Diceros bicornis minor: one gene and its partners. The protein of the gene in region 4 purifies or fractionates together with the protein of the main gene of each other region. This does not show direct contact. Links are inferred from orthologs where the notes say so. Each region holds a gene or a part of one and is shown on either strand. Other genes may lie near its edges. The genes, in order: SNAP23, PTTG1IP, SLC31A1 and STX7.

What was found.
Region 1: the proteins of STX7 (region 4) and SNAP23 purify together in Homo sapiens (affinity purification with mass spectrometry; 3 studies listed by BioGRID and IntAct, counting the BioPlex papers as one, with this or other methods). This does not show direct contact. The link is inferred for Diceros bicornis minor from reciprocal best matches to the Homo sapiens genes STX7 and SNAP23.
Region 2: the proteins of STX7 (region 4) and PTTG1IP purify together in Homo sapiens (affinity purification with mass spectrometry; 3 studies listed by BioGRID and IntAct, counting the BioPlex papers as one, with this or other methods). This does not show direct contact. The link is inferred for Diceros bicornis minor from reciprocal best matches to the Homo sapiens genes STX7 and PTTG1IP.
Region 3: the proteins of STX7 (region 4) and SLC31A1 purify together in Homo sapiens (affinity purification with mass spectrometry; 3 studies listed by BioGRID and IntAct, counting the BioPlex papers as one, with this or other methods). This does not show direct contact. The link is inferred for Diceros bicornis minor from reciprocal best matches to the Homo sapiens genes STX7 and SLC31A1.

The regions. Positions count from the first base shown.
Region 1 is NC_080744.1:40,080,467-40,087,369, reverse strand, and holds the start of SNAP23 (synaptosomal-associated protein 23), read right to left. Parts: upstream 3,001-6,903; 5' UTR 2,915-3,000; intron 1,114-2,914; exon of another isoform or gene 949-1,113; intron 1-948. UniProt on the Homo sapiens protein: Essential component of the high affinity receptor for the general membrane fusion machinery and an important regulator of transport vesicle docking and fusion.
Region 2 is NC_080766.1:44,238,115-44,245,037, forward strand, and holds the start of PTTG1IP (pituitary tumor-transforming gene 1 protein-interacting protein), read right to left. Parts: upstream 3,007-6,923; 5' UTR 2,862-3,006; coding exon 2,747-2,861; intron 1-2,746. UniProt on the Homo sapiens protein: May facilitate PTTG1 nuclear translocation.
Region 3 is NC_080767.1:21,478,246-21,485,737, reverse strand, and holds the start of SLC31A1 (high affinity copper uptake protein 1), read right to left. Parts: upstream 3,010-7,492; 5' UTR 2,784-3,009; intron 2,750-2,783; exon of another isoform or gene 2,040-2,749; intron 1-2,039. Other genes in the region: FKBP15 (FK506-binding protein 15), read left to right, coding at 3,183-3,235.
Region 4 is NC_080762.1:5,448,521-5,456,422, reverse strand, and holds the start of STX7 (syntaxin-7), read right to left. Parts: upstream 3,010-7,902; 5' UTR 2,920-3,009; intron 1-2,919. UniProt on the Homo sapiens protein: May be involved in protein trafficking from the plasma membrane to the early endosome (EE) as well as in homotypic fusion of endocytic organelles. Mediates the endocytic trafficking from early endosomes to late endosomes and lysosomes.

The DNA of each region.
Region 1 (6,903 bases), on a different chromosome or scaffold from region 4:
GTAGTGGTTAAGTGCCCAATATTTGGAGGCATAATGGTTTCAAATCCTGACTACTGATTACTTAACTTCTCTGTGCTTCAGTTTTCTCATTAAATAAGGATATAGTGCTTACTTCAAGTGCTGTTACAAGGATTGAGCTAATTCATGCAAAGCATTTAGAACTCTGGCTGGCACACAGTGCTCAATAAAGCTATTATAATTTTTCACAATAATTATTAAATATCTCTCATGTTTTTGACTTGGGAATCAAAATCCAAGCAAGATCAATTTTTTTAAAAACTGCGATTTTTAGGGGCTGGCCCAGTGGCGCAGTGGTTAAGTTCGCACGCTCCGCTTTGGTGGCCTGGGGTTTGGATCCCAGACACGGACCTACGTTCCGCTTATCAAGCCACGCTGTGGCAGTCGTCCCACATATAAAGTTGAGGAAGACGGGCATGGATGTTAGCCCAGGGCCAATCTTCCTCAGCAAAAAGAGGAGGATTGGCAACAGATGTTAGTTCAGGGCTAACCTTCCTCACCAAAAAACAAAACAAAACAAAAATTGTGATTTTAGACTATCAAAGAAGTGTCACAATGTAAGGCCTCAGTAGTCATGCAGGAATATAACGTGTGTATGTGTGTGCATGTATATAGAGGGGGCAGGGTTGCTTTAAAAGGCAGACAGGAGACAGGTTGTGAAGGGCTTTGTACACTATACCAAGAAGTGTGGATTTTATTTTATAAGCATCATGAGGCCATCTAAAGGAAATCTCAGTTGTCAAAACATTGTTAAAATAAATTTAAAACAAACTTTAAATCCAAGTTACAGAACTCACAAAAATCAACAAGATGAGGGAATTTCAGAAAAATATAGAGATCAGTGATTTAAATATTTTAGTTGCAATAAAACCTAAATTGAATCAAAATCAAACTGTCAGTGAATTTAAATGAGTGCAAACAGAACCTCACCTCCAACCCCAATACCACAAAAAGAACAGTACATGCTGTTTCCTGGCTCCACAATCCACTTCCTCCAATTGTTGGAGGCACTGGATCCATCTGTTTCAAGCCTCTACCCACCATGACAAAGAAAAGACCAGTCCTTGTCATCAACTCCTCTGTCAATCTACAGACCTGGAAACAAAACATGGCACTGGAATAAAAAGTTCAGCATTCTTGAATGCAAGCAACATCATATATTATAAATGCTAACTAACACATACAATGCAGAGTACAAATACACCTAAAAACAGATTTCCAGAATGTTTAGGACATAGGAACCAAAGAAGGAAAAGAAAATGCCTTAATTCAGAAGAAAAAAAAATGAAAGGCAGCTGATTTCACAAAAATGTCAAAGAGCAAACATCCTCTTTTTCTCTTTTGCTATTACAATCTACTTTCATTTGGTAAAACCAGATAAGTAAGTTTGCTAGAACTGCGTTAACAATAATGAATGCCATCACAGGGCTCACAGAATTTTGAAGTTCTTAGAGTTTAGGCAGTCCAATCTTTACTTCATTTTAAAAATGAGTAGATTAGACCCAAAACAGTATTTTCCAAAGGGCAGAGCAACAACAAGAGATGATTTTAGCTGTTATATAAGCAATAGTTATGTACTTAATAGTTATGTATTTATTATAATGTGTACTAGAAAAAATATTATAAAATACACAAAACTAGAAAGTATTATAAAATACAAGACCAGGATTTCGTAGATTATCACTTTGGAAGAGGGTAATGTTCAAAAAAAGTCTATTAAAAATACGAAGTAAAATAACACAGACGATCCTCTAAAAGGCAAAATTTATGATGGTGGTATGGTTCATGATAAATGAAGTACTGACAGCTGTTCCACGAGCAACAGGGCCTGTTTTGTTGTTTGTTTGCTTTCTTCTTGATTTAAGCTTGTGTTCTGAATGATTAGAAAAAATGTGACCTTTAGTTAAGTGAGCTTGTTAGTATACTTAAGTTCTTTTAGAGTAAAAGAAACAAAGGCTAAGATCCATACAGATATTCTACTGTTCATAGGAAACAGTGTAATAAGGTTAAGAAAATAATAGCACAATAAGTCAGTCCTATTCTGGAACTAAGATAACAGCAACTTTCTAGTGCATATCCACATACCACAAGCACTTAAAAAAAAAAAAAGCCCTAGCAACAATGATAAATATTTAAGCTGTAGGCTAAGTTATATGATCATTTTATTTACTTTCACATGACCTGTCAAAAGAGAATGGTAATGTGAGGTGTTTCTCCTGTTTCTCCTAATATTTGCTAGTATTTATACGAATGCGGTCTTTTTCATTACCTCTTGCCAAAGGAACAAATGACAAGGATCACTGAATGCCTTAGGCATCAACTTTGCTGGTGGCAAAAATATTAATTTTTAAAAATTTTACTATGAGACATTTTAAGATTAGATCTCAGAGTATTCTAGCTAATGATGCCTCATGCATTTCAAGTGTGGTATTTTCCAGGCTACGGAAGAACGTGAGAGAACCAAGTAAAACAGGTAAGATTGTACTTTCCTAGAAAGCATGGACTCGCCAATGCCATGAACCTCAGAGATCTTCTTCAGACAACTAATTCACAGTTATCTGATCACTGTGGTCACCATACAGTCTATTAATCCCGACCACAGCAAACCTGTGGAGGTCGGGGGTGAGGGAGTGAGAGTTTACCTCCGCTCGGTTTCAAGAAAGGGTCCAGAGAACCACCATCCCGCCACCCTGCCTGTGCCGGCCTCTCGACAGTCTCCTGGCGCCTCGCGTCCTCGCTCCGGGCCCGACCTGCCCAGTCCGAGCCACAGCCCCGCTCCTCCCCTAAAGCCCGATCCTACCAACTTTTCAACCGTCATGATATACTCTTTCTCCTTCGGATACGATCCCAACCTTCACCTCGGCCAGCTCCCTCAGCCCCACTCCTGGAGACTCACCACGCAGTTCGGCCACTCCTCTGCGGCCTCGGCAGCTCGGACACCCCCAGACTGGACTGGGACCTGCCCCTTCTTGCGCCTGCGCACGCCGGCCTCACACGCCTGCGCACTTCCCCGGCGCCGCGGGTGCGGCCACACCCCTGCAGCTGGAGCCAATCACGGTGCGGGGGGTTTAAATCTCCCTGCCACGCAGGCGAGGAGCCTGGGGACTCACCCGTTAACCGGATAATTCGAGTCCCGCTTGTAGGTGGGAAGTGTTCAAGCAACAAACATTTACATGTACCGTACTGAGGGCAAACCGCCAGGCACTGTGCGGGATGAACACTGAGGAAAAGAAAGCGAATAGAATGCCTTCCCTGCCCTCTAGGGTCTTTTGATCTGTCTAGACTGGGAGATAGATATGTAAATAAATTATAGTGGATAGAATATAGTGCATGGCATATAGAAAATCCGAGGCGCCGCTGGCGCACAGTGAACACAGTGCCTTATTCTTAGGGGTGGCTGGATGGGTTCCCGGGGGAAATGACTTTTGAGTCATGAAGGATAAGTAGGAGTTCCCCCGGAAGTCCGGGAGGGAGAGAGACTATTTTCCAGACTGTGAGAACAGCGTATGCCAAGAAGAACATAGCGCCTTCTGGAAATTACTTGTAGTTCATCCTGGTTAGAGGTTTAGAGCTCATCGTATATCTCCAGGTGAAGGGGGAATAAGCTTTAAAAAGTTGGCAATTGCCAGATCTTGGGAGGTCTTGCATTTTTGGACTAGTGACCCTGCACTTTATACTGTGATCACTGAGAGCTACTGAAGGGTTTTAAGCAGGTCTGGGAACTCTTCCAGGCACCTCTAAAAATAAAGCACAGTGCTGGGGGGGAAAAATGCTTTAAAGAGGGAATATTCTATTCCTAAGGGGTCAAGGAAGATGAAGCCTGAGAAATATCTTTTGAATTTAGTAACACAGAGATCATTAGTGATCTTAGCGAAAGCTATCTGTTGGGATGAAGTTGAAAAATAGATTGCAGTAGTTTGGAGAGAGAGGAGATACAGAAATGGGGACAGGTTGTAGAAAGCTTTTGGAAAGTTTGGCCTTGAGGGTAGGAGGGAAAGGGATGACAAGGGGTCAAAGTTTTTTGTTTCTATTTCTTGGATTTTTTGTTAGAATTAAGGCAGGAGAAACTTAAGCATGATAGGGAATATGCAACTGAGAAAAAACAGTTGAATAAAGAGAAGTGCTAGTTAGTAGGTAAAGATCTTCAGAGGGTAAGAATGGAGGCAATCCAGAGCACTGATGGGGGGACAGTCTTAGAAGAGAGATCTTCTCAATTATAATGAGAGGAAGTATGTGTCTGTAAGTTTGTATGTTTAGTAACAGAAAGTTAAAGAAGTTCTCATCTGATCACCTCTGTTTTCTCTGTGAAGTAGGAGATGAGGTCATCTGCTGATAGAAAAGGAGTTGGGAATTTTAAGAAAGTGGAGAAGATTTGGAATGTTGTAGAAAGTGATAGAGCAAATTGACCAGAGGAAAGTAGTAGAACTGGTAAGCCATGTTGAGGGCCTGTATAAGATTGGTAAAAATGAACTCACCAGTTTCTGCCCTCCTGCATAGATTTCTCAAGCAGTAATCACTTCTTGAGGTAGAAGTGGAGAAAATGTATGGTTGAGTTCATTTAGCGTTGGGATGGTCACTGGCATAATGCCATGGTTCTCAACCAGGGACATTTTCCTTTTTTGGTCTCCAGAAGACATTTGGCAATGTCTGGAGACATTTTGATTATCAAGATGGTGGGTGGGTGGGGATGTAAGGGGGCACTACAGGCATCTGGTGTCCAGGGATGCTGATAAATAGCCTAAAATGCACAGGAGAGCACAGGAACTATCTCCAAAATGTCAATAGTGCCAAGGCAAGGTTGAGAAATCATGATCTAGGATTACCTTGACGCTCACCAACAGCTGACCTTGGTCTTCTACAAGCTTTTCGTTGGACTATGGTCCAGAGCTTATAGGGTAAAGCAGTTCTTCCATTGCTTGCCTTTAAAGGAGAGTAGAATGAGCAGCATACCTCAGACCTTGAGTGTTTCAAGGACTTGTGATGTCACAAACACAGAATGGGAATAGTTCCTCAATCCTCTAGAAGCAAATCTGGATTTACACAGAGATGAAGGGAGCTGCTTACTTTGATCTGAGGCATTGAAGGTCTTGTTAAACATAGATATTATTAGAAGTTCAACAATATAGGAGGAGTAACACTTCACAAATTATCAACCTTAATGTAATTTGGTTTATCTCACTAGTTTTAGTCACTAAAATAAGATCCCGAGAGAATGGGTATGGGCTAAGTTTAATATATATAATTAAGATAAATTAATATTAATAATTAATATAATATAAATACATTAAGTATTAATAAGAATGTAATTATTAGTATTAATGGATTATCTGCTCTTTGATAGGCACCATTATGGATAGGCACTTGACCTATGTTATGTCATTTAATCCTAGCAACACCTTGAGAGATATCCTAATTTTAACTCTGAGGAAAGTGAGGTTCCAAGAAAATTTGTAATTTACACAAAGTCACAAAGTACTAGTATCCAGGTCAAAAAAATTGGAACTCAGGTCTGTGTGTTCTAAAGCTCTTGCACCTTCCATTAAGCTTCAGTAAATTTTAGAAGGAAGGAGTGGTTGGCAATGTAGCGGCAACAGTTGCCACCGCCTAAAGGGAATGGTGGAGACAGGAAGAGACTAAGAGCAAGAGCGAGGCCCGGAAAGAGAAAGAGAATGAAGAAGGAACCGGGAGGCTGCTCACAGGAGCGTGCAGCGCAGCGGACTAACTTCGCAAGCCTGCCTGCCTTTTGTCTTCTCCCATTCTTTTAGAGTACATAAACCCTTTTCCCCCTGTGTCCGTTGTTCACTTTCGTGAGTTCAAATAAAGCTAGATTATTGAGAAAGGCGGACCTCAAAGGAAAAAAAAAAAGAGAGGGGAGCTCTACGGCGGCGGTGTGCGCTTGCGCGCTGGCGGCGGCGGCGGCAGCGGAGCCCGGAGGGGAGCCGGTTCGGAGCGGGCCGCCGGGCCCCAAACCGAGGGGGCGTCTGGGGCGTCAGGGAGCTCCCTCGTCTGGGCCTCGGCGGCCTGATGGAGTAAGAGGGGTCGCCTGTGAGTGTGAGTATCGAGGGGCCGAGCTGCGTTGAGGCGTATCGGAGCCCGAGGGTCCTGGTGGTCTGCCCCTTAGGGAGGTTTGGGGCTGCAGGACGCGGCCGGATCTCTGCTCCTGCAGGCCGCGGTGCAGGGGCAACCCGGTCGTCCCCTCTCCCCGAGCCGCGCGGGTTTACGGGCAGGCGGTGCTTTTGGCTTCGCGGTACAGATTCTCGCGGGGGCGTTCCGGCTCTGCTCCCAGCCGGAAACGTGGCGGCAGAGCCTTGACCTTTAGGGGAGGCCGCTGACCTCCTTCGGCCTTTGGTGCCGCAGGGAGCCCATAGAGTCAGGGTGCTTAAAGGCCTACGGGTCTCCGGCCAGGAACACCTTTCGACCACTTGTGACTTACAGCCTCCGTTCTTTTTCCTTCTTCCGTCTTCTCTCCTTATGGGATGCGTCTTAATAATAGCTGTTAATTATGGAGCGCTTACTATGTGTCAATTTAGTATTTAGTCCGAATCTGGGTGCATAATTATGGAGAGGAAATGCTTTGCACCCCACTCCCCCTTCAATCTGCTCGATTTAATTATCTTTGAGAGTCAGAACCATCTTTTGAGATTAAGCTATCTTGTTGGGAAGTTTGAGATTTCCATGACTCTTAGCAATTTGGGACTGCCATCCTGGTTAAGGGAAGTTCTTCTCTTACCTACCAAGAGAGTGCTTTATCCACCATAATGGTTTATATCGAATTTACTCAAGCCAGAATAACTTTGGAGCACTTACTAAGAGCTTAGTACTGTGCTAAACCCTTTAGGAAATCTTATAATTAGTTTTAAGCTCTTTCTCAACTTTAGTCGTGAA
Region 2 (6,923 bases), on a different chromosome or scaffold from region 4:
TAGGGGTCGTCTTCCCCCGGGATGTAAAGATGAAACTCTGGGATCGAGTCTGACCCCATACACAATTGGTGAGGTCCAGGGCCCATGAAGACTTCTTTAATTTAAAAAATTCCGCTCCAAAGATCTTCAATACCTCACAAGTTCCCAATGTCTCCTCTCCACCAAAGCATACAGGAAAACATCAGAAATTGTTGATTTTGTATTGCTGTGATGTATTCTTTGAATTTACATACTTGTGGTTAATTTTGTATGTCAACTTGAACGGGCTAAGGGATGCCCAGATAGCTGGTTTCACATCCTGTTTCAGGATGTGTCTGTGAGGGTGTTTCAAGGGAGATTAGCATCAGAATTGATAGACCAAGTAAACATTGCCCTCACCAATGCAGGTGGGCATCGTCCAAACTGTTGGGGGGCTCCAACAGAACAAAAGCAAGAGGAAGGATGAATTCACTTTTTGTTTGAGCTGGGACATCCATCTTGCCCTGTCCTCGGACATCGGTGCTCCTGGTTCTCAGGCCTTCGGACTCAGACTGGGACTTACACCCCTGGCTCCTCTGGTTCTCGGGCCTTCCTATTTGGACCCCACCAGCTCTCCTGGGTCTCCAGCTTACAGACGGCAGATCATGGGACTTCTTAGCCTCCATAGTCGTGTGACCTAGTCCCTTATAATAACTCTCTTTCTCTATAGCTGTGCATATCCTGTTGGTTCTGTTTCTCTGGAGAACCTTGACTAATGTGCTTGCAAGGAAGACAAAATAGTGTAGCCACATGCCCAAAGCATGACAAGTGGTGAAAATCTCGCACAAGCACAAACGGTGTGGGAGGGGGACCTCCATGCTGGAACAGCACCTCTCTCCAAGGAAAGGCGAATGCAGACCCCAGGGCACGGGGGCGTAAACACCATCCCAGCAGGACACCATTCCTCCCACTTGAAGGCACTGCTGACAAGAGAAACAACCGTCCACCCCCTCCCACCCACTGAAGACTTGGGGTGTACCCTGGGACAGAGAGGAATCCCTGTGAGCTGAAGGAAACAAGAGCAGCCTCCAGCTTCGTTGGTGGTAAGTGGAATGCCGTGTGGCTAGAGAAGCAGCTGCTTGTCACCTGAAATGCTAGAGTGATAGTCTGGTTCACCTCCCAGACCGTCACAGGACACTCCCACTCATCTCACACGGGGTCTCTGCAGCTTCAGAAGCCCAGGGCACCATGGAAAGCAGAGCAGCCAAACAGGAGGCTTCAGGGCGTTTCCAGACACGCCCACTCTGGTAAGGGCACCCCCCCCTCACACGCCCACTCTGGTAAGGGCATCCCCCCTCCCCCCAGCCATCGGTAATAAACACATTCTTTCGAAATCACAGGCTCTTGGCAGATAGCCATTCTGTTTGGTAAAAAGTATTCATTCCACGTTTGAGCTTAGAACTCAGTTTGGACCAAAAGTTCCCTATACAGTGCAACCTGACTGCTTCATTAACACACGCCAGGAGGCTGCACTGTGACCGTCACAGACACATACACACATACTCCTGGAAGTAGATTAGAGGACACTCAAGCAGTCCTGCCCTAGAATAAACGTTCAACAAGGTCACCTAGAGGAAAGGCACTGGGCTGTACTAAACCAAGCCTGGGCTGAGATCAGCTGAGGACAAACTGTCCCTTGTGCTGGGCCCCGGTCCATGCTACTTGTAAACATCATGAAACAGGTTAAGCAGCCTCCTGTGGCTCTGTTACCCACAACTAGTGATCACGTGGGGACTCCACACAGCAGTCAGAGAGGGACATTCTGCAACAGGTCCCACAACAGTCCCCAGCTTTAACCCTTCCCAGATTTCCACCAGCCTCCAGACAACCCATCAGGCCCTGCTCTGCCCACAGGAAGCCATCTCCAGCAATACTCAGTTTCTAGAACTCTTTGGGCCTCAGGTCGTGCACTTTTTTCCATGCACTCCCCTTATTCACCGCCCCCCCAGCCCCAATGGCTTGCTTTCTAGTCAGTCTCTCCAGGAACTCAGCTCAAGGATACATAAGAACCACCGGCTCAGCACCTGGCACAGGTGGTTAATAAAAACAGGTGGGATAAACCCATGAAGAACGCCCACTGCAGGTCTGGAGAGTGTGAAAAGGGATCAGCTGGCTTCCAGGTGGCAAATGCCACGGCCTGTGCTTTCCTGCCTTCACGACAGTCTTGGAGATCCTCGGAGGAATCTTCACGTGCGCGGTGAGGCTGGCCATAAGGGCCCCACCCAGGCCTCCCGCGTGAAGCAGGGCCCCGGGACATGAGCCCCGGCCCTCGCAACCCTCGACGGGCGTGGCCTGGACACCGGCCCCCCAATCTTTCCGAGGGTCGCGGTGAGCTTCAGCGAGAAAAGTGTGCTAAGCTAGGCCGCCACTGCAGGCCCGCGGAAACGCGCAGCACGGCCGGGCGCCATCTGGACCCCCTGACACACCCACGCTTGGGGCAGCCGCTCGGCCCCTTCTTTTCCCGTAGGCACATCCCGCTGCGGCTCCACCCGCCCGACGGGGCCAAAGGGTGGACCCGCGGCCGCCCCCGCAGACCGCAGCGCGCAGGGAGCAGCAACCCGGCGCGGCTGTGACCCCGTGACCCCACACCCCCTCCGCCCGACCCCACGACCCCGCCTCCCCCATATCCCCGCCCGACACCGCGCCCCCTCGTCCCCTCGGTCGACCCCATGACGCCGCGCCCCCTCCGCCCGCCCACATGACCCCGTGCCCCCTTGGCCGCCCTCACCCGCTCCGGGCTGCTCCTGCGCCGCGGCCGCCGGGAGGAGCAGCAGGACCAGCGCGGCGCCGCCGAGGCACAGTCCCCACCGCGGCGTCAGCCCACGGGGCCCGTCGGACGCCATGGTGGCTGGGGCCCCGCCGGTCAGTCCGTCGGTCGGTCGGTCGTCGACCGGACGCACCACACCTCGGACAGCTGCCACGGAGCCTCTGCCCGGAAGCGCCGCGCGCCGGAAGTGGGCAGGGTGGCGGCGAGGCGAGTGCGCAGCCGCGCGCCCCTGCTCGCCCGTCCCTCGCCCTCCGGCGACCCCCACCCCCCGCAGCTCGCGTTCCCCGCCCCCTGGCGTCGCTCAGTGCGCCTGCGCGGCTGACGGGCGGCGGGCTCGCTGTGGCTCAGTGCGCATGCTCGGCTGGGAGGGGTGTTGGGGAGGGGGCGCGCCGTGGCCTTGCCTCTAAAGGGGCGGCGAAGGCTTGGAGATGGCTCTGGGGCTTGCTGGTGCCGCCGCCCCTCTTTGGTTGGTCCCGCGGGCCGTGCAGAGCCAACGCGGTCGGCGCCGACCCCCTGCCCGGAAGACCGTCGCCTCCGGCACCCTGGTCCCTGGACGCCCCCGTGGGCACGGCGCTCCCTCCGGGCCCACCCCCCAGGAGCCCGCCCGCCCCGGCTCCCTCGGCCATTAGTCGGATCCTCGCTGGGCATACTCCCGCTCCCTCGGAAATGGCCCTACTTAAACTTTGTCGGCTTTCAGATAGTAATGTTTGAGGATTTAGTTATTTATGTAGTTAAAAACATTTAAAACAACCTCAAACTTGGTGTAGACTTTTATTATTGAAACTTTCCTTTAGAGTCCTGAGAGAAGCTGCGTTTCTCGCTCTCACATGCCCATGGACCCCAGGACCCCAAACACTGGGATTGCGTGCTCCTCCCTGCCAGGACCCATCTTTGACCTTGTGGAAATAAGACAAACCTTAACTAAACCGGGTTGGGAAGGCCTGCAGGGGGAGCTCTCACCCCCATCACATCCTCAATTACACCAAACAGGAAGAGACTAGACTTGCATCTCCCACAGGAAGTACAACTACTTTACTACTGAAGGAAGACTTCTCTCCCCACCTGGGAGCGCCAGGCCAATGAGAAAGCCACAGCTCAGCCAATGAGAAACACTGTAGTTCATCCAATGAGAAGCCATTGCTGCCCTGATCTGTTTCTCTCCCCCAATGGACTTTCAGCCCCTCCCTCTCCCCCTATTTCTGTATAAAAGCAGCCCCCTCCTTTGTCCTCTGGATTTGTCTATGGGTTGCCACAGCTTGCGCATTCTGAGTTGCAATTCTTTTGGCTATTTCTGAATACACTCCTTTGGAGATAAAATAACAGGTGGTTTTGCCTTTTAAGTTGACAGCTCTGTGGAGAACTGCTCACGCTATGGTCACTTGTCACTCCATCACTTAGTGCCCTCTCTATGGTATTGGACCTTGTTGTTTAGTATCTTTAAATTCAGTAGTTAAAATACTGGCTTCTTTTTAAAGCTGTACAAGAAGTGATGCAAATATATAATGCAAGAGTCCAGTTGATTTCTTTTTAAGACTTTCCATAATCAAAGTAGAGTGAGGATTTGGTAATTGTTGAGTGGATTTGGGAATTGTTCAGGAAAGCAAGAGATGCGTCTCCTAAGCTTGGTCTGGTCAGTATGGCTGTCTGGACCATCCTGGTGAGAGCCCTCCCCTGGCTGGGTAGGAGCAGTCCTGGGATCAGCTAGTGATGTCTGCTGCATCGCTGTTGAGGTGTCTGCCACAGGGGAGGTGTCTGCCATTTTTGATCTTCTTCAGGGCCCCAACGTCATTTACTGAGTCGTGTCTCACTGCTGTCCCACCTGTACCTCAACCCTCTAGGGAAGCACTGTGGTGAATTCCGAGCGGTGGGCTGCAGTCTAATCTGAGAATCTAGGTGAGCCCTGGGGAGGCAGGCAAGGTCCAGACTCATCGGAACACCCCTCTCTCTCTTCCAGCATGCTGGAATTCAGGGATGTGGCCTATAAAATCTTCTGTACTTCCTCTCCCTGAGAAGGCCCCAAAGTGGTTAGAATTAACTTGCCCTCAACCCCCAGGGCCAGTGTGGAAAGACTGTTCTTGGCCAGGAGGGCACAGTTGGTTGCTGTGTATTTGTGCCTCCTTTGATGTACAAGGACCAGTCAGCACACCTCATCCCACCCTGTCACCCAGTTATGGTAAACTGGACCCAGAGGGTGCATGTCCAATGAATGTCACGGGGTCCGGAGAAGAGCGCATCAGAGCTGTGAGGCCGGCATCCCAACCCCACCAGTTCCCACCTCTGCGACCTCCGCCAACCTACTCAGCCTCGGTGAGCTTCAGCGCGCGTGGCTCGGCTCACAGCACTGCTGACCATCATGAGGTCACAGAATCAGGCCAGAGGGTACCAGCGGGTTGCAGGTCACAGCACAGAGTTACCTTGCCCGGTCTTCCCTTTAGGGCAGACCCGAGCTGGCCCAGGTACCCATGGCACTGGTCTGTGGTGCACAGAATGAAGCCTGGCCCCTTGCACAGAAAGATCATGGGTCCGGGATGTCGAGTCAGTGCCAACGTCAAATGTTTTAATGAGCATATCTTCAAATTTACCCTGGCTCCTCATCAAGTGACAAAGTTCCTCTCTGTCCATGTGAGGCGCAAAGGGCCCTTGACTGCAGTAAACTACGTCTGACCTTCCTCTTCCAGTTCAATTACTTCATATCGCTTTTTGGATCTTCTGCTGCATAAAGAGATGTCTAAAAACTCATTTGCTATTAGAAATGGAGTAAACACCAGCCTGGGTTTAGAACTATGGCCTCGGAAACCAACATTTCTTTGTCCTAATAGCACAATCACACAATGCTAATTTAATGATAGCTGAAGGACAGTGGGCATTTGTAAGCATTAACCAGGACACAGTGAACACTGCTACATTTGAAACAGCGTCATCAGCAATGACATTTTAAGATACTCTGAGTTTTGGGACAATATGGTAGCACAGAAGTTCAAAAAATACTCTGTAACTAGAGCCCAAGTTCCTGTTTTAAAACAGAGGCAGAGGGGACGGCATTGTTTAACTTAACACGTTTGATTGTCAAAGAGCTTCAGGCTCATAGGAAAGACCTAAACGACACATTATGAGAAAGTACGAACTACAATGACTTCTCAGAGAAACAGGATGATTACTCTGTTTGCAGTCTGGAATTGAAAGAGGGTATGATTTTCCCAAAAAGAAAGATGGGTAAGGAATTAAACTGACACATTACAATGGTGGCAATTTAAGGGAAATATTCATTGAGCGCACTGAAATGGAAAGGGCTGCCCAAGGGCACAGACCAGCCCGGTGGGCTGAGGTCAAGCTCTGGTGGTTTTGGAATGCCAGGGCCTCCACCCTGGAACTGTGCAAATTGGAGTCACATGATAGGCATTTTCACCAGAGTTGTTTTTATTCCTGGTCAGTGTGCCATTTGATTTTGTTCATCATTACGAGTACATTCCTTAGTAAGTTAAAGAATTACTTCCAGAAAGGCCTTGTAAAGAGTGAAGCGGCTACCTGGGCAGGTAACACATTAAACCTCCGAGATCATTAACACTGGGAGATCTCATTTTCAGCTCAGCTGAGGAAAAGGGAACACTTGAGGGCCTTGGACTTTGGACTTGCCTTGGAGGGATCTGGAAAGGTGTGTGGCAGCTCTTAGACAGGCTGGGTCAGCAGGGCTCCAGGGCGGAAGGAAGGAAGGACAGAGGCAGAAAAGACAGAGGGTCAGCAGGTTTCAACCCCGGCTGGCCACAGACACCACCTGAGGAACATTTAGAAGCAGCGATTCCAGCCACCCGCCCCCTGCCCGCCCCCCGCAATGAAGTCAGAACTCCCTGGGGTGCCATGCTGTTTAAAGCTGCCCAGGCACAGGCTGGGCTGAGTCCCCTGAGCTGGGAAGTGCTGCTGCGTGGGCAGCAGTGGGGCATCAGGCCATTCTGCTTCCCTCACCTGCTCAGGTAAAGGGTCCCAGGTGACACCCAGTAACAGGCCCTGACGCAGTTAGAATTTGAAATAAAAGGAGACCCAAAGCCAGATGTCCTCCCGTGTGCCCCCTTCACAGTTCTGTGGGTGGGTAGGGGGTCGATAGGGGTGTGGGTGATACTGTGATATAAGAAAGAAGAAGATA
Region 3 (7,492 bases), on a different chromosome or scaffold from region 4:
TATGGGACGCCGCCACAGCATGGCTTGACAAGTGGTACGTCAGTGCACGTCCAGGATCTGAACCCTGGGCCACCGCAGGGGAGCACGAGCACTTAACCGCTACGACACCAGGCCAGCCCCTTGCTATGTCTTCTATTATGGTTATTCCTATACTTTGCTTAACCCCACTATTCAACTATAAGCACTTTGGGGACAGGAACAATGACTTACTCATTTTCCTATCCCAGGCAACACCCATCACAGTGCTGTACACATAGCAGGTTTTCAGACGGTATTTCTTGAATTGTGTTCTGACTTTTTTGCGTTTTCAGCGACTGAACAGAATGAACACTATACCAACTCGCCAAACCTATCTTCAGTTCATATCCCTATCACCACACCTGTGATCTCACTTGGTTATAATTTTAAACTATTAATTTTAAAATGCATTCACCAGCACAGATGAGTATGGGTGTACCTGTACATAAAAATTGTCATCTCTGTAGCAAAACTGCTGATAATTTGAAAGGAATTGTTAAAACTGCTGCTTCCTGGTTAACCTTCAGGGGGTCAATACATTTTATAAATGCATCTAAAAGCTGTGTACTTAAGCAAAACAAACAAAACACTTAATTCAAACTTGAGACCAAAGTTGTGCCTTACTTAACCTCTGTATCCCTAGCAGTACTTAGATGTCTAGGTCTAACCCACTCCTTTTAGAAAGTGTTTAGGGAGCCAGGGCCAAAAGCTCAGAGCGAGTTAGAAGGGCTGGGATGAAAATTCAGGTTTTGTGAATCCTAGTCCAATATTCTAATTCAGGAAAACAGTGGCTTTTTAAGTGCACCCAATCCTGCAGTTTAAAACCTGAGAGACTGAGGAAGCCTCACCACTATCTTTCCCTTCCTCATACTGCCAATCAGAACCAGCAGCCGTGTTCCCACAACAGTGATCCGGGAATGCATATTTTGGTGTCCCAAATATCAAAACGGCTGATCCAGATTTTAGGATTTCTGCATTTAAAAAGGCTACTTAACCACGCTGGATGAAAATGCCCCCAGGCAAGAACGAAAGATAAGCGTTCAAAGGATCCTTGAGCATTTTTTCAAAGCACTACTCAGATGCTTCAGCGCTGGAAGGACAAGGACCAGAACTGGGGAGAGGGATTACAAAGAGCTATGTTACTTATGCGGTTCATTCTTTTTTTCTCCTGAGAGGTAGCCAAGTCCACTTTCTAAACAGAACTACCGCAAAGAGTTCCAGTTATGTGCTAAGACTCCAGTTACATCATTGCGTTAACACTGTCAGCCTTCATCGCTCCCACCATCTTAATCTGTAAAATAAACAAGGAAGTAGACAACAGCCCTCTCTCTCAGTTTACAGAGGAATACTTTACTAACTAAAATTAGAGTTACATATAATATTTCTCGCTATCCTATTCCCCTCTTTCCCCTCCCCTAGAGTTTTAAACATTAGTAAAATCATCTTCAATTAACAAAAGAGGCTAAGTAACCCAGAGAGTTCACAGCTAGTACAGCATTTTTCTCTTTCTGGAAGCCATCTATAGAAGGCAAGAACAACTACTGGCCTCTTTGGGTCACATGGGAAAAAAGTCCTAAGAGAGTAAATTAAGGAATAAGGGAAGAATTACTCAATCTAACAAAAAATTAAGCCATTATGGGCAAGATGGTGCTCTGTGACACAGGAGACACCAAGATGAATAAAATTGCCCCCGTCTTTGAGGAGCTTACAATGTGGTAGAAGTACATAAACTATAATAAAACGCGGAACAAGGGAAGTACTAGGAGCTATGGAGTTTTCTGGGAGGGAGCTACAAATCACTTCACTTCAATTTCACGCTAACAGATTGAGACATTCAGGTAAGGGACACCTGTTGTGCGAACCTGACTGAGAGGAGAAGCGTCGAGTAAAAGAACTCCAGGGAGATCTACGGAAATGGACGCTACAGTGGGACATTATCTGCTTATCCACACCTTGGCTAAGCCAGGCCCACCCGGAGATTGTGCCAAGAATTATACCAGGTTAACCAAAGAAACACTTACATAAGATACAGGGAGGATGGACTGGAGGCAGAGAAGTCAGCAACAACTGATGTTGACTTAGATCTGTGGCAGGAAGACTAAGCAAAACCCAGGCCAAGGTCGGGGCTGTGGATTTTCAGCTTCTAAAATTTCCTCCTTTCCATCGCCCATCCCGAGAATATTTCAGCTCTCCTGCATAGGTGGACTCCAGAGAGGGGCCTTCTCTCAAGATGTAAGCCACAGTCTGGCAACGACCACTCTGTAAGGCACGCAGTGCTTAAGGGCTGATAAGGTTCTTGTTCACCCATCAGCTCACTAAAGTCCTGAATCAAGAGACCAGCAATCCAGCCCGCCTAAGTCATCAGAGTGTTTAGTTCCTTCCTCTTCCTATCCATAAATTCTGGAACACGGATTGAATTCGATGACCTCTGAGGTCTAAAAGCTTCTTAACCAGCCGGCACAGGAAGCACTGGACAAATAGCCCGTTGAATAAATAGCGAGGTCGGCCACAGGGAACAAGCGGTAGGGGCGTCACGCCCATTTTTACAAATGGGGAAACTGAGGCACCGAACACCTTGCCCCAAGGTCACTTCAGTTATGTCACTGTAGGGGCAAGGCCGAAAGCTTGGATCTGCAGACGGCCAGTCCCGGGCCCCTTCTCCTTTCGCCAAGCTGAGAAGAGTGGCGTGGAGGGTCCTTGTCCCGAAGGGGAAAGGACTGTGCCCGTGCCAGGGTTGCGAAAGGGGCGGGGGGAGGGGGACTTACCTTCCTAGATCCAGTCGCGCCACCGGCGCCTCCTTCTCAGAATCGTAACCCTTCACCCCTCCACCACTCTTCGGAAGCCCCTCCACTTCTGCCCGGCTCGTCGTGTCGGAGACCGCCACTGAACGCGGTCTCTGCCCCGCCCCCGCCTGCTCCGCTGGCCAATCCTGCGCAGGACTTCGGCGCTCCCGCGTATTTCACCGCCTCTGCTGGCTAGAGAATCCTAACGCCACGCGGCGCGCGTCCCACGAGGCCCTCCCCTGTGCCTTGGCTCCACCTCCTCCCGCGGCTTGTCTCCGCCCCGCCGGAAAGCAGACGCCGCGCGTCATTTCACGACGTCGGCAGTGAAAGGTCCGAGAAGAACCCCGAGTTCTTCCCAGCAGCGGGAGGAAAGCCAGCGCAATGTTCGGTGCGGTCGATGAAGACGACGCCGACTTCCTCTCGCCCAGCGGGGGGTGAGTGATTGAGAAGCGTGGGGCAGAGGGCGTGGCTGAGAGAGCCGGGCAAAATGTTGAAGGGGTAGATCTCTTATCAGACCTCTCCCCACTTCCGGGTCCACACCCTTGCCGCATTCCGGTGCTCTGCAGGTCTCAGAATCTGGGCAGAGCTCGCAACTGAGTCTGTCCGCCTGGATCGTGGACCTGACATCTCCGCGGACACGCAGAATGACCCTGCGGTTCGCCTTTTCCTTTCTGGGTCACAGTTTCACTTTCTGTGAAATGGGGGTGATTGCTGATGGGAGGACCTGCCTCAGAGTTTTTATAGGAGTCAGCTGGGGCCAGTGTGAGACTTTTTTCTCCATGCACGAGGCGGTGACACTTCAGAATTGGCCTGGGTGGGTCAGCTCCAGCATCCTTCAAGGCCCAGCTCGGATGTCACCTTTTTGATGGTTTCCGTTCTCCTACGGCCCCAGGCAGAATAAATTGCTTTGTCTTTCTTATTCCCACAGCTAGGCGTGTTTCAGTCTATCCTTGCACACCGAACCTACTAGATTACGAGTCCCTGACCGGACTGGGACTGCATATGTTGGTCATCTCTGTCTAGCCTCAGCACGGTACCTGGCACATATCGATTGCTCAGGAAGTGCCTGTTGAATGAATAATAGCTGTGAAATTGCACTCTAAAGCTTAAAACCAATGTAAGAGACTGTGGTCGCTATCCTCTGTCCCAGTCATTGTTATACTAGCCTGGGGTACAAGTTTTCAAGAGGCAGGGCTTTATCTCTTCCAGTAATCACTTTAGCCTTTTCCCTTGTGTTCTGTCAGTAGACAGCTTGACTCCCTTCTGACTTGTGAGCTGCTAAGTTCTGATTCTTGCAGAGCCTGTCTTCGAACATCTGTTTAAGAAATTTCAGAGTGTACTGAAGAATGATGAATACACCAACACATACTCCTCATTCTACTAAATGCTGCGAGGTTACGAAGATGATTAAGCTGCTGTGTCTGCCCTCAGGTCGCTTCCAGTCCTGGTGGAGAGTTCAGTACATGAATGACCATAAAATGACACTGGCCTTAAATAGGATCTTTTGACTTACACTGTGACTAGCTCTGTACTACCCATCCTGAAGTCTTCTTTTCACTCTCACCACCCTGTTCTACCCCACCCCTGCTTTAGATGGTCTACATCCACTTAGTTCCACTTGGGGTTCTTTTAGTTGCTCAGAGAGTTAAGCTGTGCTTTGGTTCCTTTTTCCCCTCTTCCACCCAAAACATTCACTAAAATTTCCACAGAGTCCAGCCTGCTGCTGTTGATTGTGTATTGAGCCTTTTGAATTCGTGTTTTTTCATACAAGCCTGTTTTGTATGTGGCTGTGCCTTTTGAAAGTTTACAAGATCTACTTTAAATTCACATTCTTCACTAGATGAAAGTATTTGGGGGAAGTCTGTAAATGAATGGTAGGGCTCTCAACTTTTGTGCAACAAGCAGTCCACTGCTGACTGAAAATTACACGGTAGATAATGACAGTCATGTGCTCTTTTCCAGATTCCTGGGCTGAGATAAGTTCTTGGTGGCTCAGCAATGCTGCTTTCCTGAGCAGGCTCATCAAGGACCGGAAACACTTTAGTTCTAGGCGTGTGACTGTGCTCCTAAACATAGACAACAGCTAATTGAATGATAAAAGGCTTAGTAAACAAAGTTATACAGATAACTTATTTTTGTTCCCAGTAATAACCAGAAAAACCAATCAAATTTAAGATTGAGAATATAGGAAGTTTCACCAACATTCTCTGATTCAGCTATTCCTTTTTTGGTTTTCTCTAAGGAAATAGAACGCATGACAGTGAGCACGGCAGCTCCTTTTCAGTTCCTCTTTCTAACTGTAATTTACTGTAAATATACTTGCTTATTAATTTTCAAATGTCTTGACTTAAATATATGACTTACTTGACTCCGTTTAGGATACTCCATTTAGCATAGTAGAAGTGAGAGTGTTAGTGCTGGGATGGCTGTCTAGATGATTGATAATCTGTTTCAAGTTTCCAGGCCTCTTAAAGTCCATGGTTAACCTAGAAATGGCACTCAGGAGGCTTGCTTTTTTTTTTTGGTCTTAGCCTTTTCTCCACTATTGTGACTTTAAAATGAAGAAATATGTGAATGCCTGCTAAGTGTATGGTTCTTGGCTTTAGCTAATACAGATAGGAATAAGGCACTGTTCCTGCCCCTAAAAAACTTACATTTTTGTAGTAGAATAAAATCAATCCAGTAATAATAATCACAAAGCATTTTTAAAGGGCCAGTTATGTATATACTTTTGTTTTAGATTATATAAAAATAATATGTAGGCATGGTAACAATAAATCAGTGTAAAGATAGAAAAAAGATAAATCTAGAACTGATATCAGAAAGCATTTTTAAGTTCTGTAAAAGATATGGAAAAGCCTAGATTCTAATGTTGATTCTACCCCAGTTAGGAGTGTGACTTTGGACAAGTCACTTCCCATCCTTGGCTCTCCATGCCCCAGTCTATTGAGTAATGGGATTTGCCCTGGGTGATCTTTGAGACCTTTCCAGTTCTATTGTTTTGTATTTATGATGATATCAGTTTATAGGTGCAGGTCAGTTTGTGCATTGATTGAGCATGCTTTCTCCCTTACAGGGGTAGCTGAATTGAATCGACATTTTAAGGTAATAGAGTGTGTGCACATGTATATAAAACATATATTGTGTACTTACTCAGTGCCAGGCACTGTACTAAGTACTATATATACTTTATCATATTTACTTCTCCCTACTACTCTGTGAGGTAGTTTTTACTATTATACCCACTTTACAAATGGGAAATTAAGGCTCAGAGAGGTAAGTTGCCTGAGGTCACACAGCTAAAAAGCAAAAGAGCTTGGATTTGAAATCAGGCAAGCAGATTTCCACCAGACTGCCCATGTGCCATTATTATTATTATAGAAGTAGATATTTAATACCACAGATCATAAAAGAAGTACTTTAACAACAAAAAGAATCCCTGTTTATTAAAATATTTTGATACAATATAAATGCGTGTGTAATTATTTATGATGAGAAAAGAAAAGGAGTATAAAACTAAGGCTAAGTGGGGACTTTGGCAACTAAATGCATTGGCTAACATTTTTTTTTTTTTTTTTTGAGGAAGATCAGCCCTGAGCTAACATCCATGCCAATCCTCCTCTTTTTGCTGAGGAAGACTGGCCCTGGGCTAAACGTCTGTGCCTGTCTTCCTCCACTTTATATGGGATGCCGCCACAGCATGGCCTGATAAGAGGTGCATCGGTGCGCGCCCAGGATCCGAACCCGGGTCGCCAGCAGTGGAGCGCGCACACTTAACCGCTACGCCACGGGGCTGGCTCTAACATTTGCTTTTAAAGTGTAGTTAGTACTGTAATGACTTTTGCCATAAATTATAAACATAAAGACTCAGGCCTAGAGTTAGCAAGCCCTTTTTTGCTAACATAGAGAGATGTCTACGTTTGAGAACACTTCAAAAGTGGAAAAATGTAATAATTTACAAGAAACTTATGTCCCTAAGTCTGTCTAGAGTTCATTTTAAAATATTAATAGAAACTAGAATTAATCTGAAAGATAACTGGGTTGACCTGGCTTTTGGATTGCTTTTACAATCAGTTGGCTGGCCTTTAGGGCATCTATGGAAACATAGAACTATGACACTTTTCTGTCTTTCCCTTGAAATAAAACATACTTGCAGAATTAAAATAGTAAATTCAATACCCATAGTTTACTGAAGCTAACAAGGACAGTTTTTTCTTATCAATTGTCTGTGTATCAGCCATTATATCTTAACTAGGTTCTCAGCTTTGTAAATTTTCACTGTTAAAGGCATTGCCCAACTTTCCCAGAATCTTATTCTTTTAGGGGATCTACCCAGATTACCCTCGTTAAAAGGAGAAATCTTGGTCTCTTCTAAATTTCGTAAGCATTTGTTGATGTCTTGTTTAGGCCAGCACTGCTCTCTACACTTGCAATCTCATTTAAACCTGTTAGTCCTTTAAAGTAGGCATTGTTGGGGCCGGCCCGGTGGCGCAAGCGGTTAAGTGCCCGTACTCCGTTGCGGCGGCCTGGGGTTCGCCGCTTCGGATACCTGACACACACCAACGCACTGCTTGGGAAGCCGTGCTGTGGCGGCGTCCCATATAAAGTGGAGGAAGATGGGCACGGATGTTGGCCCAGGGCCAGTCTTCCTCAGCCAGAAAAAGAAAAAAAAAGAGGAGAATTGGCAGATG
Region 4 (7,902 bases):
CAGCTACCTACAAATTGACTTAAAAGTTTATCTTTGCATAGAGACTTAAGCAACCAAGTTATTTTGGCGCCTGCTTCCCACATCAGTCTCCAGCACCCAGGCCAGAGCTAATACACACCACAGTTCTCTTGCTGAGTACTTCCGAAAGCCCATTCAGAATCCCTTGTTTTACTGCTCAGAATAACAATAACTCATTATCTATACCTGCACTATCAAGTGTTCAAATATCACATGTGTGGCCAGTGGCTTGGCCAGCTCACGTATAGAACATTCCCATCATAGCAGAAAGTTCTATTAAACAGTGCTCATCTAGACATCTCAATAATTACCTTTCTATGAAGATATATAAACACTATGAAGAGAAAGAAGCAAAAAGAGAATCAAAGTGCAATACTGTCCTCTGTTGGTATCCTTGGGAGATTGGTTCCAGAAAGCCCACAGATACCAAAATCTGGGGATGCTCAAGTCCCTTATACAAAATGGTGTAGTATTTGCACATCCTCCCATATACTTTAAATCATCTCTAAATTACCTATAATACCTAACACAATGTAAATGCTATGTAAATAGTTGTTATGCTATATTGTTTAGGGAATAATGACAAGAAAAAGAAGTCTGTATACGTTCACACAAACGCATCCATGTAGGCCTTTCGATTCGTGGTTGGTTGAACTTGCAAATACGGAACACTCGGATACAGAGGATCGACTGTATTCACGAGCGTCCTCTCAAGACTTTCTAAAGAGCACAAATGAAAGAACAAAGGGAATTTTAACATGGAATCATGACTGTCAAACACCACCCCCAGTTACTACTGGACACATGCAGAATCCTTAAGATTCTCATGAATCTTCCCATGAAGATTTCCCTGAAGAAATCTCACTCTCTTAGGGCAATAGAAACAGTTTCACTTTCTTAATGGTGAGCACCAGCGTAAAGCAACAGACTTCCATCCACCCCGTGCCCCAAAATGTGAAGTTCCCAGAGGGGTAGGGTTTTTTTTTTTTTTTTGAGGAAGATCAGCCCTGAGCTAACATCTGTTGCCAATCCTCTTCCTTTTTTTTTCTCCCCAAAGCCCCAGTACATAGTTGCATATCCTAGTTGTATGTCCTTCTAGTTCTTCTATACGGTACGCTGCCTCAGCGTGGCTTGATGAGCACTGAGTAGGTCCGTACCCAGGATCCGAACCGGTGAACCAGGGGCTACAGAAGCAGAGCACGTGAACTTAACTGCTCCACCACCAGGCTAGCCCCTAAATATGACCATTTCTAAGACACTGAATTCCAGGGCCTTCTTTCAGATCCTGATGTCCCAGGACGATTGCTGCCTGGGGACCTTGCTGGGTGCTATTTCCTATCCCTAGAAGGCTCTTCCCACGATCCCAGTGACTGGCTCTTTTCCCCAGCAAGCTCTCATCACATGCTAGAAAAGCCTCCGTGACCACTGCCATGTGAAGTGAGAGATCACCACCCCGCCACTCTCTGTTGATCTCTCTAACTTACTGCACCATAGCACTGATCACCATTTAAAACGATCTAGTTAGTATACAGTTTATTATCTACCCCACCTCTGGAATACAGACACGAGAGAGACAACCCTGTCATCTTGTGGAATCCACAGTGCAGGGTGCACAGATGTTCCGTGAATGTGATGGCGATCCCTCTCCGGACACCAGCATTCTCTATAACTACACTAACCGCATTCTTGAGCTCAGCTCCTCCATCCGTTAACCTATTTACTACTTGGGTTTAGGTCACAACACTAAGGATTATTTTTCACCCTTTCACACACTAATCTTTCAAATTAAATGGAATCAGAGGCAAACTTTACTCAGACTTACTGCAGGTGTTTCATAGAATTTATTTTTCACCCACAGCACTTGGCTAAAGTTTGGGATCATAACCAAAATTAGGACTGACTGTGTTATGGGGAGCAGAAGTAAAATATCTGAGGAAAAATGACACAGATGTTGAGTTAATACGGTATTATATTATCTTCTTTGAAACTAAACCGTAATTCTTAACTGGTCACAAGTCAGACGCACTTCTCAAAGTGGCCTGCAAAGCAGAGGCTTGTCCACATCACAAGACACAGTTTACCACATCAGTTATCGCTCAGGCCACCCCCAGAAGACACGCCCACCTCCAACATTACTGAACCGCAGAGCATTTCAGAAGCATTTTCTTTTCTTCCAGATTCTGTGCCAGGTTTAAATTATATATATTTATAGTCAGAATACGTTGATCTGAATTAAACAAAAATTACTGCATGTATATAAGAGCCAAGCAAATCTAAGACACTCGAGAGAGAAAAATACAGCAATTGACCAGAAAGGCAATGTTTTTTTTTTTTCTTTTTGTTTGAATTTAAAGAAACTAACAACCTAAAAAACAAGGGGGGAGGGGGCAGCTGGAAATATTTTATATATCTGTCAAGGTCTTTATGTAAACCAATTAATGACAGGAGCTGAGAGGATCAAAGCAAGTCAGCGTGTCCCAGTCATCACGCCAAATAGGAAAACGGCGACAACGAGGCTCGGAACGAGCGCACAGGGCGCCCTCGCCGCCGCATTTTCAGTTCGCCTCCAGCGGGAGAACTTTTCTCCCGGGCGAGCGAGAAAGAGGAAGAGGTCAGCCCGCGGCGCAGGCTGGACTCCCGAGCCGCCCGGGCGGGCTGGGCGCCGCCCCACCCGGCGCGGGCGCGGCCGCGGGGCCCGGGGCGCGGGGAGGCGGGGGCCGGCCGGGCCCGGGGGCACGCCGCGCCGGCCCGGGCCGAGGGGAGCGGGCGCCCCGGGGCCGGGCAGCGCCCGCCGCACCGCGCAGGGCGGCGGCCCCTGACCACGCGCGCCCACCAGGAGGCGCGGCAGCCCCGGGCCGGCGCGCCCCCGGGGCGCAGGGACCCCCGCCCCCGCCCGCTTACCCCGACCTCCTTGGCTGCCTCCTCCGCCTCCGGCCGCTGGACCCCGGACCCACAGTCCGCAGCCACAGCTCTCAGCTGATGGGCGGTGGCGTCCAGACGCCCACTGCGCATGCCCGCGATACGCCTGGGAAGGAGGCGGCTCCTCCCCTCCCATTGGCCCGCGGAGCGGAGTGACAGCCCTGTCCCGCCCCCTCTGATTCTAAGCTGAGGGATGGGGGGACCAGCAAAATTGCAGAGCAGGTGTTCTTCGAGGCCTGACGTGCCGAGGGGGAACGCCTCACCCTGCGTGCAAAAACAAGAGGAGGGAATGCAGGGGAGCTGTCTTCTTTATAGGGTGATGCCAGCCTCCCTAGCCTCGCGTCTTCGGCCCGCCCCGTCAGCTCATGCCTGCTTTGTTGGCTAACCCTCAACTGCGGTAGACTGTATTCACAGCGCCATAGAGAGTGCGCACGCAAATAGGCAACCCCAGCAGGAACAATGAAGGAAAAGGGAAATCATGACCGTGTGCTCACTTGGTAGACAGGTGTTCGTAGCACATACAAGTCATCCTTGAAGGGCAGGGCGCAGTTTTCACAGTGTTTGAAGAGAGCAGAGAATGTTCTCGTAATAAATGCAGTATTCAAACAGAATGTAAGTGTTAGATAAACAGCATCAAATGCTTCAGGTGAAAGAAATACCTCAGCAAATTGGTTAGAAGATAGATTGGCTTGGCTTTTGCCTGTATTAAGGCAACACTATTTTCTGAAAGGATCATCAGGACGTCAAAACTCCAGATGCACTTAACGGGAAAAAAAAAAAAAAAAGAACATTTTGAGTTGAGCAAATTCTAGGTTGTTTGGAATTATACATGCATATATACATAAGTAAGGTCAGCCTGGGATAAGAAATACAAGGGTCTCGCAGTTTGTTTTTCATTTTTCTACTTTTAACAGAGAAGTGGGAAAAAAATATTTCTTTCTCCTCTTGACTGAAGAAAACTACACTGCAAGTGTGATAATGAGCAGAGACTTACACTCTGCCTCGGTGGGGAGGGGGCGATGGACGGAGGTGGGCACACTGGCCAAGCGGAAGGCACACACCCCATCTTCAGGGACAGCAGGATTCAGCTAAAGCTGATTGCAGACTTTTAGGAATACTGGCCCGATACGCAGTAGTCAAGTTTTCCGCCTTGTCAAAATACAGTGGAAATTCAGATTTTTATGTGAAATCTCTCCTTTCTTCAATATTCTTAAATTTGTATAATATATTCTGTGATCAGACAAAATATGTGTTTCAACCTCTATAAAAGGGAATAGTGTCAACCACAGAGTATGAAAGCTGGGGAGGCCCTTACAGAAAATCCAGGTACACTCCCTCACTTCACAGATTAGAGAAACTAAAACCCAAGGAAACTCCATCAAAATCACACAGATAAGTATAAGCAGCACAGGTCCAGATGACCTAGTTCGGAATCTTGAGTTCTTCCTACCATATCACTCATTCAGCAACTACTCACTGAGAACCTGTCATCTGTCAGGTACTGTGCCAGGCACTGCAGGTATGAAGATGGGTAGGGTATAGTGTTTTCTCTCAAGGAGTGAGATCCCTCCCAGGACACTGTAAAAGGAGCTATGATAAAGATTTGTACATAGCACAGTGAGAGTCCAGAGACGAGGATGCCTTACTGTGGGGTCAGGCACCACTCCAAAAGGAAAGTGTTAACAGAAGCTTGAAAGATGTGTAAGAGTTCACTGAGAAGACAAGGTGGGAAAGGACATTTCAGGCAAAAAAAGAAGCACATAAAAATTTATAAAATCATAGGCAAATGCAAACTCTTAGGGATCTCTATATGTTTATTTAGATAAACTGTAGTCAGTGGATTGGAGGGATACGAGACTGGAAAGGCAAATAGAGTTTATATAGTGAATGTATGTATGACATACACCTATCTACTGGGGCTTTGGGGGAGAAAAAAGGAGGAGGATTGGCAATAGATGTTAGCTCAGAGCCAGTCTTCCTCAGCAAAAAGAGGAGGATTGGCATGGATGTTAGCTCAGGGCTGATCTTCCTCACAAAAAATAAAATAAATAAATAAATAAATAAATAAATAAATAAATAAATTAGATATGGAGAATGAAAGAGATGACTCCTACTCTTAGGACACGCAAAACTGAGCTGAGCATGATATAGCTTACTGAGATCCAAGACTACTAACAAAGTAATTGTGGTTTGAGGAAGGAGCTGGTGAAATGAGGGAGTGAAGTGACAATAAGTTGAGCTTTGGGTGTGTTGTGTTTAAGTTTCTGGGGAAGGGACATCCAGTTTGAGATGTCCAGTGTCCTACAGGTACTTGAAGGTGTGAGCTGGTGTTCAGGATAGAGCTCTGGTTGGCACCGTGGGAACAGATGAGCTCACTAACTCTAAGGAAGGAATGTTATGGACTTTCTGTGTTTAAGGGAGGGTAGAGAAAGAGAAACCCTGAAAAGGAGTAATCAGAGACATAGGAAGTAAACTAGGAAAAGGTGAACTAGAGAATGAAGAGGGAATGTTCCATGATAGCACGTGTCACAGAAAGTTCAAGTAAATTAAGAACTGAAAGTTGTGTATTGGACTTGAGAAGTAAGAAGTGGTTGGTGAACTTAGGAAGAGGCATTTCAATCAATCAAGGAACTATCATGCAAAGAACTTACATCTACATAAGGTCTGGTACACTTTCCAAACATGCTTTCAAGTTACCTTTGCTAGAACCCTGGGCTGTGGGAGGGGAAGGCATGGTGCCCTGTAGAAGAAGACCCTGAGGCTACGTGGCCTCTCAGGTTACCCTGCTGGTTACTGCCTGAACTGGAACCACAGCTCAGAGCCTCCTCCTGGGCTCCTTCCAATTTCTCATGTCTTAAAACATGTTATGAGTGGATTCCTCCAGGTCTTTTGAAAATCTGAGAATAAGACTTCATCCCTTTGTAATCAAATGGAAAAAAATATAGTTTAGGTAAGCCTGCAAAATTTAGAGGCATAGAAGATAAATAAATTCCCAGAGAGTTCCTAACATTTATAGTATCCCTTCTTTGCATCTGCCTGCTACTTCGTGAAATTCAGCCAGGGGCCTTGAACCCAGGCAGGGCTCAAAAATTCTGCTCATTTAACAAGTAATCATTTCACTTCTCCCCGAACAAATCCTTTACACTCGCAGGAGTGACCTGTGTCTGAAGGCTTGTAATTTGGCTTTTCAGACCCAGTAATTTTGGGAATTTGGGTCTTCTTGAAAAGATTTTGAAGTGCAATCAGAAGTCAGTCAAGTGGTAATTATTAATAAATAAATAATAAAATTAATTAATGATTACTTATTTGTACAATGTAAAGTAGTTTCAGAATTGCTAACTCATATTCCTATGAGAGAAAAAAGCAAAAAACCTTGAGTACAGTGTTGATGGAAAATTCTTTTTGTTTTTAGCCTTACATTATTGAGTCGAGACAATGTTTTCCAAAATTAACCAGATCAGTTCTTTTCCCTACCCCATTCAGTGAAGTTATGTTTTATGTTTGTATTGCATTTAGATTTGTTTGTCATGTGTCTGCATTTCATCTGGGGTTCCTCAAACGTACTAGTTGATTTTTTTTTTAATTTGCATAAAGTTCACACTTTGTGGCACATAGTGCTATGGATTTTTGACAAATGCATGCAGTCATATATCCATCACCCCAATACCTTTGTGGGAGATCAAGATTTGGCCACCCTGAAATATATCTCTTTACCTTGATTGTTTTCTCTGAGGGACATTTGACCTCTCCCACTAACTGCCTAAAGAATTTGAGTTGGTGGCTCCTTCCTGGAACAGATCTTCTATCATCATGGCTGTAATGATAATGTAAAATAGATGTTACAATGGGAGGGGCACCAAGCCCCTTTTATCAAAAAACTCTCTCTCTCCCTGACCACATTATCTATAGATGAACCTGAAAAGAAGAATTGTCTTCTTGCCCTCTGAAGTCCCAGACCACTACCCACCCCCAACACCTTCCTCGCCTTTAGCTACAATACTTAAGCAAGCAGCTTAGACAGAGGGACGAGTTGCTCATTTCTGAGTTTCTCCCATGTATACATGTTATTAAACTTGGTATTATTTTCTCCTGCTAACCTGTCTTGCTAATTATTTGGCCAACCATAAGAACCTTACGGGAAAGGGCAGAGGGGGATTCTCCCTCTTCTCCCACACCTTACAGGACAGTTTCATCATCCTAAAGATTCTCTTTTGCAGTAACTTTTAGCTAACCACCTCTCCTTCCCCAACTCCTGACAACCATTCATGTTTTCTGTCTCTATATAGTTTTGCCTTTTCCAGAATGTCATACAAAGTGGATTATACAATATGTAGCCTTTTAGGTCTGACTTCGTTCACTTAGCAAAACTTAAGATATTTAAGATACTTCCACATTGTTGCATGAATCAATACTTTGTGGCTATTTTTTTATGGCTGAGTAGTGTTCCATTGTTTGGATGTACAATTTATTTATCCATTCACCTATTAGTTGTTTCCAATTTTTGGCAACTATGAATAAAGCTTCTATAAATATTTACATAGAGATTTAGATAAAAAATATAATTTTTCACTTCACTTGGGTAAAGATCTAGATGGGGGATTATTGGGTTGTATAAGTACATGTTTAATTTTATAAGCAAGTGCCAAATTGTTTTCGAAAGTGGCTGTATCATTTTGCATTCCCATCAGCAATGAATGAGGATTTCTGTTGCTCTAAATCCTCATCACCATTTAATATTGTTAGATTTTATTTTTTAATTTTGGTCCATTCTAATAGGTACATAGTGACATCTCATTGTGGTTTTAATTTCATTTCCATAATAATGTTGATCATTTTTTATATGCTTATTTAAAATCCATATATCTTCTTTAGCGAAGTGTCTGTTCAGATCTATTGCTCATTTTTTATTGAGTTGTCTTCCTATTGTTGAGTTTTAACAGTTCTTTATATATTCTGGTGCTTTTC